Schizosaccharomyces pombe: one gene and its partner. The protein of the gene in region 1 interacts with the protein of each later gene in a pairwise test. Each region holds a gene or a part of one and is shown in the gene's direction. Other genes may lie near its edges.

The links. Proteins that work in one complex are often made in the same cells at the same time.
Region 2: the proteins of SPOM_SPAC9E9.15 (region 1) and nbr1 interact in a two-hybrid assay, tested with the Schizosaccharomyces pombe proteins (one large-scale study listed by BioGRID).

Annotation. Positions count from the first base shown.
Region 1 is NC_003424.3:4,466,482-4,474,134, forward strand, and holds SPOM_SPAC9E9.15 (protein CIA30), read left to right. Parts: upstream 1-4,064; 5' UTR 4,065-4,199; coding exon 4,200-4,859; 3' UTR 4,860-4,934; downstream 4,935-7,653. Other genes in the region: abc1 (ABC transmembrane transporter Abc1/Ybt1), read right to left, coding at 1-881; p23 chaperone protein wos2, read right to left, coding at 1,755-2,287, 2,487-2,514; ESCRT III complex subunit Vps24, read left to right, coding at 3,180-3,875; MFS family transmembrane transporter Mfs1, read left to right, coding at 6,130-6,790, 6,844-7,653.
Region 2 is NC_003423.3:984,822-990,341, reverse strand, and holds nbr1 (protein Nbr1), read left to right. Parts: upstream 1-1,832; 5' UTR 1,833-2,037; intron 2,038-2,340; 5' UTR 2,341-2,504; coding exon 2,505-3,698; 3' UTR 3,699-3,959; downstream 3,960-5,520. Other genes in the region: subfamily NudF ADP-ribose diphosphatase Ysa1, read right to left, coding at 167-784; SHREC complex ATP-dependent chromatin remodeller Mit1, read right to left, coding at 4,018-5,520.

The DNA of each region.
Region 1 (7,653 bases):
TTCGGGTTTTGTAAATATTGCAAAAGTTTTTTAATAGCAAGAGGAGTGACAAATAATGTTGAACTGACGAGAACGGACAAAAAAACCATCAATAGAATTGTTGATTTAAGGGATAAAAGGATTGTATGCATAAGTGATTTTCTATCATTCTTGGCGAACCGGCTGTACCAAATCTGGGTACACTCGGTGTCAGGAAGAGCAGGAACATCAGTGAGGGTAATAGGTTTTTTCCACGATTTCCATATAATACCGTTTAACCATCCGTAAGTAAAAATCAAAGAAAATATACTACATGTTTGTTCAGGAGACGGGCGAGCAACCTTGGAAAACTTAACGGTCGGGCTCCACGCTCTTGGAAAAAAGAGAGGAATTATGACAAGCAAAAATAAAGTAATGTTATAAGCTAAAGGAAGCAGGAGAAGAAAGGATCCGCCTTTAACTGAAAAGCTCCAGGATGAATAGGTTAGAAAATCATAGATGCTTATCAGTCTTAGTAAAAGAAGCCCAAAAGCATTTGCTACCGAAATCCAGGAAAACAGGGTTGATCCATATTTTAAAGATGACAAAATGTTTAAACCAACGATCTCCAAATGGGTAATAGTTCGTATTGCCCACCAAACAGCATTAGTGTCCAAGTAAAATGAAAGTGCGGCAGAGACAATAGATAGGATAATTTGAATGTATTCTAACAAACATGTTTCTCCAAAGTATTTTTTTAAGGGGTGTTGGGTGTGATTGGCATGAAATAGTTTTTGAATAAGGAACAAATTTGTAAGGGAAAACAAAGAAAGGTAAAAAAGCAGTAGACATTGGTCTAACGTTGCATTTCTAAAAAAATTTATATCTATGTAATTTGAAAAAAAAGACTGAAACATTTTCATCACAAGTCGCAAAGTCTACAAAAAAAAAATTCTAATGGGATAAAAACCTCAAACGACCTAAAATGTTAAGCAATAAAAAGTCCAAGGTCAATAAACATAAGTCCAAAAATGTCCAATGGGAGGGAAAAATAAATAGAGGATTTTGCAACGATTAGGGCAATCGTAATTAATAAAATTAACAATGCAAACAACTAACAATCAATCGTTTAGGAATTATTCATCAAATTCAGTATTTAATTACTTTGTGGTCAAGAGTTAAAAAATAAATGTCTAATTGCCTCGGGTAATTGAAGGAGTTAATGAGAGATATTATGCTGTGGTGATGGTAAACAGAAAAGCATATGTTGCCGAAAAAAAACACACCCCGGCGTAATTATTTTTTTGTTTATTTTACATTTGGTAAATTACCTCAATTAAATGACTCTGTTTAAAATTTATATTGATATTAAATTAATATCTATCTGAGTAACTTAAAATGATGTTCGACGGTTCTGAAGTACATGACTACGAAAATAAAGTTTTTTATATGCAGATGTGAGCTAGTAAATTTCATATGACTAACTAAACATTCTATATAAAATCATAATATGAAACCATTCAGGAATAGAATTTGACATATAATCATTAAAGTATGCAATTCGTACGGGTCTTAATACATGAGCAACATATCTGTATTGGGAACAAACATTTCCTAATCAATATATTCAGCCATATAGGTAGAAGATGGTACTTTAGTTTACTGTTTTTAATAAAAAACTGTCAACGCAGCTCAAATTTGCTCCGCTCCACCTCACAAAAAGGTTGATTGCAATTTTGTATGAAACGTAAAAGATAAAATGGATGCATTTTAAGACTGATTACATGATAACATTATTACTCTTTCTTTTCGTTACTGCCAACTTCCTCTTCCTCTTCGAGTTCAGGTTCGCTGTCACTAGCATCTTCACCAGCTCCAGCTCCTCCAAGGTTACCAAATTGACTGAAGTCCATACCGCCCATACCTCCAAGTGCGCTCAAATCTGGCATGCCACCTGCGCCAAATGGACTAACTTCAGGTTGTGCTTCTTGCTCATCCTCGTCAACCCAACGATCAAAATCCGTTCTGAGCCAGTGTAATCGAAGTTTCTCTTTAGTAAGACGAGGCCAAAACTCTTCTTGTAATTCCTTCTTGTATAAGACGAAAAAGATGTAGCGGCCGGTAACAGAGTACTTGCTTTTCTCGACATCAATGTCCTTAAAAAAGTCAATTTGAACTGCGTAATGAGCGTTGGCTCCAGATTTGCTATCGATAACTAGTTTTTCAGGTGTCAAATTAATTTTTGGGTCAACAGCATCCGGAATTAAAACGGTGAGGTAAATTACGTTCTTTTCAGCATCATCCTTATTGGATCTTTGTGCCCATAAAACTAAACGAATGTTAGTAACAAGCACTAATAAAACACGCAAATAAATGTACATTGGAAAACAGAATATACAAAACCGCTAATCAAATATTTTATGTGAAGAAACCGAAGAAAATACTATCTTCAAACGAGAATTATTCGGCTTATTCTCGTCTCAGATTCTTCGCAGTATAAGGTGTTACGGATTTTTGTTGTAACATACCTTCAGGAATTTGTGTATTTAAACTCATTCTTTAATGATAAAAAGTATAGGTAAATAATAGGTTCAATATGGTAATTTTATGTTGAAACTTTTCAACTGTGAACTGCTAAAGTGGTTTGTCTAGTGCAGGTTCTTGAAGTCACCTACATTATATAGTGAACTATAAGTCACTGGGTACGGTATTTTCTAGAACATACGCTCAAGTATTCAAGACTGTGCCAGAAGCGTCTAGGGAATAAAATTGTTAAATTGCAGTTTTAATAGTTATCCTTGTTGATCGATTTTAGAAAATTGAGTCTGTTTAACGTCAATTGTCAAGAAGCTGATCAATTAATTGATTTCTTGTAAAACGGGATTTTAAAATCCTAGAAGCCGCTTTTTTAATCAATTCATAAATTGAAAAGACCAACTTGATGTACTCTATTTGAGGACTATTCGGTTTACGCTGATTTGAGGATTCTTCGTTTGAACAATTGAAGAAGTAAGACTTTTTTTAAAGGTTTCATATCATTTCGGTTTCAGTATCATTTTTTTAGAGAGATTTGTGTCAGTTTTGTTTTTCATAACTTTCTTTCCTTGTATTATTGCATAATCATCCATCGTTTTTGTTTTTTTTTTAATTGGTAAACGGGGAATTTACGTGTTTATCCATTTTTTCCTATCACCCAGCATTTCTCATATTTTATTATCAAAATGCAAACTGTAAGATCTTATTTCTTTGGTCCGACGCCTCAAGAACAAAACAGAAAATGGCAATCCATCATTCGAAAAGAACAACGACAACTAGATCGGCAGGTATACCATCTTAAAGCAGGCAGGAAAAAGGCAGAGGTTCAGCTGAAACAATTGGCAAAGCAATCTGATATTACAAATATGCGTATATTGGCTAAAGAAATTGCCCGTGCAAACCGACATGGTAAAAGACTCGCCGAATCAAAAGCTTTATTAGGAAGCCTAAGTCTACAACTGAATGACCAGATGGCTATGTTAAAGATACAAGGTACTATGCAATCCAGCACAAAGATAATGCAAGATGTATCATCTTTAATTCGTCTTCCCCAACTCTCGGAAACTATGAGAAATCTGTCTATGGAACTTACAAAGGCAGGTGTCTTAGAGGAAATGCGTGATGAAATGTTTCTACCAGTAGAAGACGATGAAGAATTGATGGATTTGGCTGATGAGGATGAGGAAGTCCAAGAAATTCTTACAAAATATAATGTCATTCCTGCACCTTCAGAAAAAGCAGCGGATGCTGCTACACATCGTGAACAATCACTCAAACAAGCACTTCCATCTTTATCCAATGGGATTGCTAAAGACTCTACTGAAATTGATGAAGAACAATTGTTGGACATTCGTGATAAGCTAGATGCTTTGAAATCCTAAACGGTTTAAATATTTTTTCTTTCTCTGCTTCTAATTTTACATGTTTATTCTTTGTATTATATCATTTAAACTGATTTCCTTGCATATTTAACAAAACTCCCTGCATTACGGTTGTAGTAATTTTATGGCACAAAATTCTTTTTCTCGTTAAATTTTCATCAGTAGCATATGAAGTAATTATGCATCATGGACCGCCTTCCTATATCATTCAATTTTTGGCAGATATATTCAATAAGTAGGCTTCATATCTTTCCTTTGCCTTTGTTATTGAATACAAAATACTCATATATCCACCGCTGTTGAACATTACTCCATTAAAAAGAAATGCTTGTTCTTTTTGGTCAGCCAGAAAATTGGCATGAGCAGGATTTTCGTGCTGTAGATGATAGGGTTCGTGGAGGCTCTTCGATAAGTCATCTCACTGAGGAGAAGGATAGTGATGGGAAATCTCGCGCCAAGTTTTGGGGCACTCTTGATACTAAGACCTTGGGAGGCGCTGGATTCTGTAGTCAGGCTACTAATATCAAGGATAGGACGTGGAACCTGAAAGAGTTTAAAGGAATTGAGCTCGATATTGCTAAGAGCGATTCTTATAAATATACTTTTATCATTAAGGATTGTCATCAAGATTGGGAAACTTCTGATGAGAAGTCAAGTTTATCATATGAATACGACTTTACACCTATATATTCTAAGGAAGACCAAGTTGTTTCAATTCCGTTTTCCGAATTTAAACCGACTTATCGTGGTCGACCTGTAGAAGGAGCCCCGGAGCTTGACGTTAGCAAGATCACTCAGTTTTCAATTATGATTCGAAGCTTTTTTAATTCCCAAAGTGGCGACTATGAACTAGTTTTAAACAGTATTCGTGCTATTCCAAAGAATGTTCCTTTTACTACCCATAAGATGAGTAACGAGAAGCAAAGACTTTTTGACGATTATGAAAAAGAAATTGCTGGAGGTTCTTGGTGCATTTGCCAATAATTCCAAAGTTTTAGCAATACTTACTTAATTTATTTTCATGACATTTGATGAATTTAACTTGCGTTTTGTGCGGTATTCATTTGTATAGTAAAGACATGAAATTATAGTAAAGGCGACTTTGTATTACTTTAGTGTTGGGGATATTAAAGTCTCCTGCTACTCTTTTTTTATTTTGAAGTAATTTTAAAGAGATGAATAAGGTTAGCAATAGTTTAATTGACATCAATTTAGTACATTGACATTTACAAAAATCTGAGTTTTTAGCTTAGCCGTTACTTCTATCCATTAATGGTGATGTCCGACTAATGTCATTAGAGCAATTAGCATTTGCAATCATAAACTAGACGATCATAATCAATCAAAGTAATTGACAAACAACAACACTATGAATTGATATACGTACAACTATGGAGTTGTCACATCTCTGCAAAACTACAACCAAAGTAAATTCAATTTAGTTTGCTTATTTTAACTTCTGATTGTCAGTAACTTACCATATATACTCAACGCATTCTTTCCCATTGCCGCGGAATTTGTACAAATTTGACTAGTGAGGTTCGCTAAACTTCTTGATGATAGTAGTATCGACAGATTGTCATCACCGTATGTCTTGAAATAATTAGTTGGGTGTTTGCATTCCCCAATGAAATAAAAAATCTTCAATATTTAACTTTATTTTTATTATTTAAAGTACAAATTACATTCATCAATGAATGGAGCTGTTGAAAGCTTATTGTACATAAAAGTAATTAACAAGCGAGAGTATTCTATCTATTTATCTACTTACAAACAGATCAATCTAATGGAGTCGTTAAGAGTACCTTTATCCTTTTCTAAATGTATTCATAGGCTTAAACCACTAACTTAAAAGTAATTTTATTGTGTTGACAAAAGTTAAGCCACTGCTAGAATAGTGTAAATATTTTAAGCGAATTACGGTTAAACGATGCGACGGACAAAGATAACATTTTTCCCGACAAAGCGCTTCTATGTTTATCGACTAATACTGAATAAACCTATCCTCGGTTTCAACGAATTTTGCTTCCGAGTGTATAGATCAGCGCAAGTGGAAATTCTTAGAAGTGGCTAAACATGCTATTTAGGCCAATGTCCAACAAGGAAATTTTCATGACATGAAGTAAGAACTGGTCTATTTAAAGAGGTTCTGTCTGGCAAGCAAAAGTTCTACGAGGAATGTAATGACAATCAATTTTGTCAAGTTTTTATTACGATCCACTGAGAACAAGAACTTGCATTGAGAACCGATTGGATGTGGTTTTTAAGAGAAACAATTTTTGGTGAATTAGTGGAATACTTTTCTGGCGGTACTCGCCAAGTTGATGTGGAGAAATTAGGAGTATGCACAGATAATAGTAATGTTGAGTTAAGTAGTTGCCCCGATTCTTCATTTGACGACGAGAAAACTAACCAGGTTAACTCTGAAGGATTGATTATTGTGACATGGGATGGCGAAGATGATCCTGAAAACCCAAAAAATTGGCCTTTATGGGCAAAGCTCGTAGTAACATTTGATGTTTGTTTTTTAACGTTTGCCGTGTATATGGGGTCGGCAATCTTTACTCCTGGTATTCAGGAAATTCGAGAGACGATGCATGTAGGAACCGTGCCCGTAATCTTGGGGCTGACTCTTTTCGTTGAGGGGTATGCGGTTGGCCCTCTCATTTTCTCTCCACTCTCTGAGGTACCTCAAATAGGCCGTCAAAAAATTTATGTGCTCTCCCTTATTGTTTTTATCTGTCTGCAAATCCCCACTGCGCTAGGATCTAGCTTGGGTGTTTTGCTTCCAATGAGATTTTTGGCGGGAGTTTTTGGCTCACCTGCCCTCTCCACTGGAGGAGCCTCTCTGGCCGATATTTGGCAGCCATGGCTTTATCCTTATTTCATGTGTTTCTGGTCCCTTGGCGCAGTTGGTAAGCTGGATCATTTAATTTGATAGTGAATTTGTGACTAACTAGTTTTCTAGGTGGTCCTGTTTTAGGTCCCTTGCTTGGTGCAGCCATGGTAGTTGCTAAATCATGGAGATGGCAGTTTTGGCTTTTGATGATGATTTCTGCACTTGTCTTGGTAATTATAACTTTTTTTATGCCAGAAACCTCTGAATGGCATTTATTGTATAAAAGAGCTAAAAGACTGCGCGAATTGACTGGAAATCCAAATTATAAAACGGAGGCCGAAATAGCCTCCTCGCAATTGAGTAAAGGCCAATTTGCAAAGCAAATATTGGTTCGTCCTATAATTCTGTGTGTCTCAGAACCAATCGTTCTGTCATTAACCATCTATATTGGATTAGTATATTCAATTTTATACCTATGGTTCGAAGCCTTTCCCATCCTTTTTACTACAGTCTACCATTTTACGACTATTGAAAACGGGTTGGTTTACATGGGTATATTGGTAGGTTCAGTTCTAACCGTAGCATTTTACTTTATTTACCTTAGAAAAGTGATGATTCCTAAGTTTGTGGAAAATAAGGGTAAGTTTCCTGCTGAAGAAATTTTAATCATCTCATTTCCAGCTGCCTTTTTTATTCCAATTTCACTCTTTTGGTTTGGTTGGACAGGAAGAGAATCGGTGCACTGGATTGTACCAATTGTTGGTACACTTTTCTACGCATCAGGTTCCTTTTTGTTGTTCCAAAGTATGTTTCAATATTTGGCAGCTGCATATCCGAAGTATGTTGCATCAGTATTTGCTGGAAATGCTCTTTTTCGATCTTCCATGGCTGCAGCATCTCCTCTATATGCTAGAGCCATGTTTAATAATACAGGTCCTT
Region 2 (5,520 bases), on another chromosome or scaffold:
TGAACTACGAATTATGGGGAACACGGTAACGGGAATTATTGGATAGACATATATATTATTTTTAATAAAGTTTGACTAAAACAAAGGAAAGTTATAGCATAAAAAGTCCATTAGCAACATTTAATAGTAAACGGTCGTAATTCAGTGAATAGCAAAAGGTGCATAGCTAAGACGACAAGTATTTAAGACCAGCATGTAATCCTAGTGCAAATGTGGAGAGACGAACATCAATGGCAAATCCCTTCTTCTCTAAAGAAAATAATTCCTCTTGTAAAGAAGAAAGCTTGATTGGAAAGTTCTCAATGTATTCGCCATCGTCAAGTTGTTGTTGAGGATTTTGGTTTTCAGGCTTCGACATGTCAATGTCAGCCAGTATAATCTTAAGATTAGCATTCGTAAGACCCGGATCATTGTACATGACAGTGGTGGAGTCCATAACAGTACCAACGTAGCCAGTCTCTTCACGAAGCTCTCGAATCGCAGCATCTTCACAAGACTCCTTAGAATCAACTAAACCTGCTGGAATTTCAATACAAAACTTGCCAATAGGAGGACGAAATTGCTTTTGGCACAACACATGAGGACTTCCGTCGATAGGAACAATGGCTAAGATGGCTACGGCATCCACATTGGCTTCTGAACGTGTCGTACGTTCAGCCATTTCCCAAAACCTGATTTTTCCTTTTTCGTCTTGCCAACGGATTTTCTTTAAGGATGTCCACTTGGCATCCTGATTCTCAAGGTTGGACACTTCCAAAACTTTAGGTTTTTGATCTTGGCTCATTTTATCAATACAGGTGCTCAAACCTTTGACAGTGTATGAAGGGTGTTGGAATGAAGTTGCTGATATTTGAAAAGAGAAGGTGGAAATAGCGATGTGAGAATATGAGCTAATCAATTTCGGAGGATGCTGGTGTCTACCAACGTTAAGTAAATATCGGGTTAGAAATGAAGTTGCATTTATACCTAATGTTCTTGTACTTTTAATAATATGCTGGAAAAAATTTCGGTGCATGAGTGACTTAAAATCCAACTGAAATATTGCTTACTTTTTTCCCGTTAATGCGTAAACGTGCGATTAGTATGACAATGTAAGTATGATGTTAATTTGTTTTGACGTATATTTACAAATTTCATTAATGTAAATATTAACAATCAGCAAAAAACCAAAATTATTATTTGAGCAAAATCATAACGCGGAGTATACCATTAATTATTAACTTAGCTATAAACTGGTCGTTTATCACCTTCTCTAGTGTCTTTTCATTTGCAATTGATTTTACAAACGGATCATCAAAAGATACCGTGACCGGTTTTAGCCAATATAATGGAGTTTTTCCTACCCTTTTCTATTATTGTAGTAAAAGATTTTACGCTGTAAGAGAAATTGCATTTATTTACGTTTTCAGTTCATAATCGCTTATTGATATTAGAATAGCGTCAACTTATGATTTAAGAATATATAATATTAATACTTTATCGACTCACATCTCATTTAAATTACATTTATGCCATAACCCATATCTAGTTTAATGTCTAAGCCGATTTCTAAGTACATTTTAGGGCTTAAGTTAAGTAGTTTCCAATTTAACTAAATCAATTTCTTTTTCAAGTTTGCTACATCAACAAAATTTTTCATATATTCATTTTTAGGGCCATGCGTTGAAGTACCAACCTCTTGTAGATAAATTCGCTAAGTTACTGTTTATGCTGTGCACGCTTCTAAACGCTACCACTTTTTAGCGACGCTTAACTTATCTATTATCAGTACGATATGCTCATCCCCCATATACGTGTGATAAGCTTACACCTCGACCTCGTTCATTTACATTACCATCAACTTCTACTAGCGAATTTGTCCTGCTCACTTCACCCGTTGAATACATCCCATTTAGAATTAATAGCTTGATTTCATAACCAATTAGGAACCCGTCATTATAGTTGCAATTCCAACGCTCCTTACATTTCGTTTGCACTGTATCTCTACACATCCGCTTCAATTATTTGTTTTGTCTTTATTTCCTGTTCCGTCTATAGGTAAGATAATTTACTTGCACAAAGTCTTAAGTTCAATGTTTGTACAACAAATTACAAAAAGGATTGAAGGACTAAAGTGGTTGATGGAACTTTAATAATAACATCTTCGATAAATATTTACGAGAACGTAAAAATCCTTGTCTTGATAAAGATTGTTTTTTCTATTGCCTTTACTCTGAAATTGCTAGCACTGTTGCTCACTTCGGCGTCACATATTTCCTCAATTTCAAAATTCATATGAACTATTAAATTTTACTTTGCAACTAATTTCATTAGTTAATATCGTTACTAATTTTGCTTTAGCTTATTTCGAAAGAGCTTTTTACCTACAATTAAGACCTTCTCTTACCTAAGAACTCGAGTTACTTCTTGACTGCTTACGCGATTTTTTTCTTTTTTTTGCTTTCTTTAACGCTCTCTTTTATCATTAAATTTTATTTTATTTTATTCACGTTTTTGATCCCGAAATGCTTTGCAATCGTACATGTCCCTCTTCTGATTGTGGGATTCTTTGCAACCATAGTGTTCCTTCCTTCCCTCCTTTTCATTCCTCAGTCGCTAATATCCACTTCACTAAGGAGAATAATTTAAAGTCAAACATTTTTGAGCACAATAATAATTCGCCTACTTTAAGGTCTTCTTCTGTTGCTTGTAACACTTGCCTCAAGATAATTCGGAATGACTCATTTCATTGCACAAAGTGTTTCGATTTCGATGTTTGTAGAGACTGCTATGCGAAACAGGCATTCCTCCATCCTTGCCCAAAACCCCATTTCGTACTTGTTCGCTCTTCAATCCCTTCAGTTGCTTCCTTAACCTGCAGCGTAAATTCTATGTCAGTTTCTCCCCAATCTAATTTTATGTACGCCATTTGTGACCATTGTGAGCAACCTATACATAATGTGCGTTACAAGTGTAGTGTTTGTGATGACTACGACATTTGTGAGTCTTGCCTTACCGACAATAGTCATTCAAACACGCATGCTTTCGTTCGAATTACTAAAGCTTATCCTCATGGTCTTCCTTCATTTCATTTGTTCCCTCAGTTCCTATCAGCCGAATTGTTTGAGTCTGCCTCAACAGTACATCGATCGGTTCAATGTGACAACTGTCTTGCTCATCCAATAGTTGGACCAAGATTTCATTGTCTGGTTTGTGAAGACTATGATCTTTGCTCCTCATGTGTATCTCATGTGCATCATGATCATCATTCAATGCTCCGTTTAACTCGCGAAATATCTGCTTCACCTTTACATTTATCTAAACCTGAAAAACCTAAGGTTCTTAATTTCGACTTCAAGTTAGTTGAGGACTCCATTCTCCCCTTAGAATTAAGCCCTGGCTGCCCGTTTTATAAAATATGGCATATAAGGAATACTTCTTGTCAATCGTGGCCTTCTCCGTTGTATGTCAAGTTTAATGGTGGAGACAAACTTTTTCCAGGAGACAATCCATATTCGTTTCCTATCACTTCTTCCGTTCATCCTGGTGAGGATGTTAATTTTACAGTTGCTTTGAAGGTTCCTGAAAAAAGTAACAAAGAGATTTTTACCGCATTTTTTAATATCTGCTCCGATGATGGTAGCGTTTTTCACAAAAGTCTTTGCGCCTTCCTTCGTGTACCGAAGTCTTTTAGCAGAATTAGTAAGTCGTCTTTTTGAAACCATTCGTAACGCTTTTTATGTCCTGTAGAAGTTTAGTGTGGAAGACAACGATAACGAAACTGATTTCAGTTTTATATTTCTTTCTTTTGTCCACTTGTCTGGCGGTTGTTCGTATATAACCGCCGGTTTTAAGTTCATGATTTGCTTCAGAGTTGAATCACTTGTTACCATATTTGATCCTACCTTGTTATAATGATCTTGATGGAAATGCTATATATGTTTAAAATTTATATTAAAAATTATATATTAACGAATAAAATGCAGGATACATATGAATATGCCAGATTAAATAATAGTATACATTGATGATAAAACTCTAAAGAGTTTTTGCTTCATTAATTATGGATTCCTTTATGATTACTTTCGATGAAAGTTCATTAGTTTTGGCACTGCTTGATACAGTAGGTTCCTCCTTTTTTTGTAGAAACGAGTTTAATCTAGCCATAGCTTGTTTTTTGATGTGAAATGGTTCTCGTGATTTGCTAAGCGAATCTTTTAGTCTATAAATCGCTTCCTTATTTCGTAACATAGGGCACGTGTCCCTTCCACTAAAGTGAGGTGTTCCACATAAAAAGCATATTTCTAATGGCACAATGCTTAATGGACAATGTGCTGGTAAATGTTTAATACCACAACATCGACAACGTACATTATCAGACAAAGAAGACAGTAGAAAAAAGTTGTCAAGAACTGCTTTAGACAAAGATCTTCCAACCAGTTGATGATTTTTTTCAATTATTTCGTAAGGTGGGTAAAAAACTGGATCGTCTATCAGTTGCATTTCCGAATCATTAATATACTCTGAAGAAGTTAATTTGTTAGCCACCTCTAAATTGATGGTGGATAGAGTTTTGTTAAATTCATCTTCTTTGGGAGTTGTTGCTAATAGAGATTTAGCTAAGATAGAGTCAAAATGAACATCTGCAGACTTTTGAGAATCAGATTCATCATTTAAGTTTTCGATATTTACGCTCGAATCATATTTGAGTTTTTGCTTATCAGATAAAGTATCTGTTATCGAACTGATTGTCTCAGTTTCTATGGGAAATGGGGAGCCTGGTGATGATCGATCATTAACGGTATAATCAGTATCGTCGCTATTATCATAAATATTTAAATCTTCGCCATAATGGATTTTGTGGTGTGCACGAAGTCTCCTGTTGGAAGTTGTTTCGTCTGTTTTTTCTAGCATTGCATCCTTCTCTCGTTGCTTAAGTATTACTGACCAGACATCTTCTTCATCAACAAGAACATTTTCTTTGACTTCATAATGATTGGAAGATATATGTTTGTTATCCCAAACACGAAAAAAGCCAAACTTATTGCTTTTTATATCTGATTCATCAGTTGAAGTATCTTCTTGTTTCTCAGCTTCTGAGATAAGTAATTCTACCGAATATTCATTATACTTAATAGACGGTTCATCACCAGCCTCTTCAAATAATGCACGAGCCCCATGCCGCAAGATACTTTCTAAATCTTTTTCTGAATTATGATTTTGATCCAATGACTCAACAATTAAGTGGTCCAATACAAGCTTCTTTTGAGCGTTTTGAATGATTTTTTCCTCTACAGAATCTCGAGTAGTTAACACAAAGACAAGTACCTTTTTTTTTTGCCCATATCGATGAGCCCTTGCAATCGCTTGCATGTCTTGATGAGGATTGAAATCAGGATCTAGTATAATAACAGTGTCCGCACTAGCTAAATTGATGCCAACTCCACCAGCACGGGTAGAAAGTAAGAAACATGACAACTCAGAATTAGGAGCATTAAAAGAGTCGATTGCTGACTGCCTTTCCATTTCCGATGAGGCGCC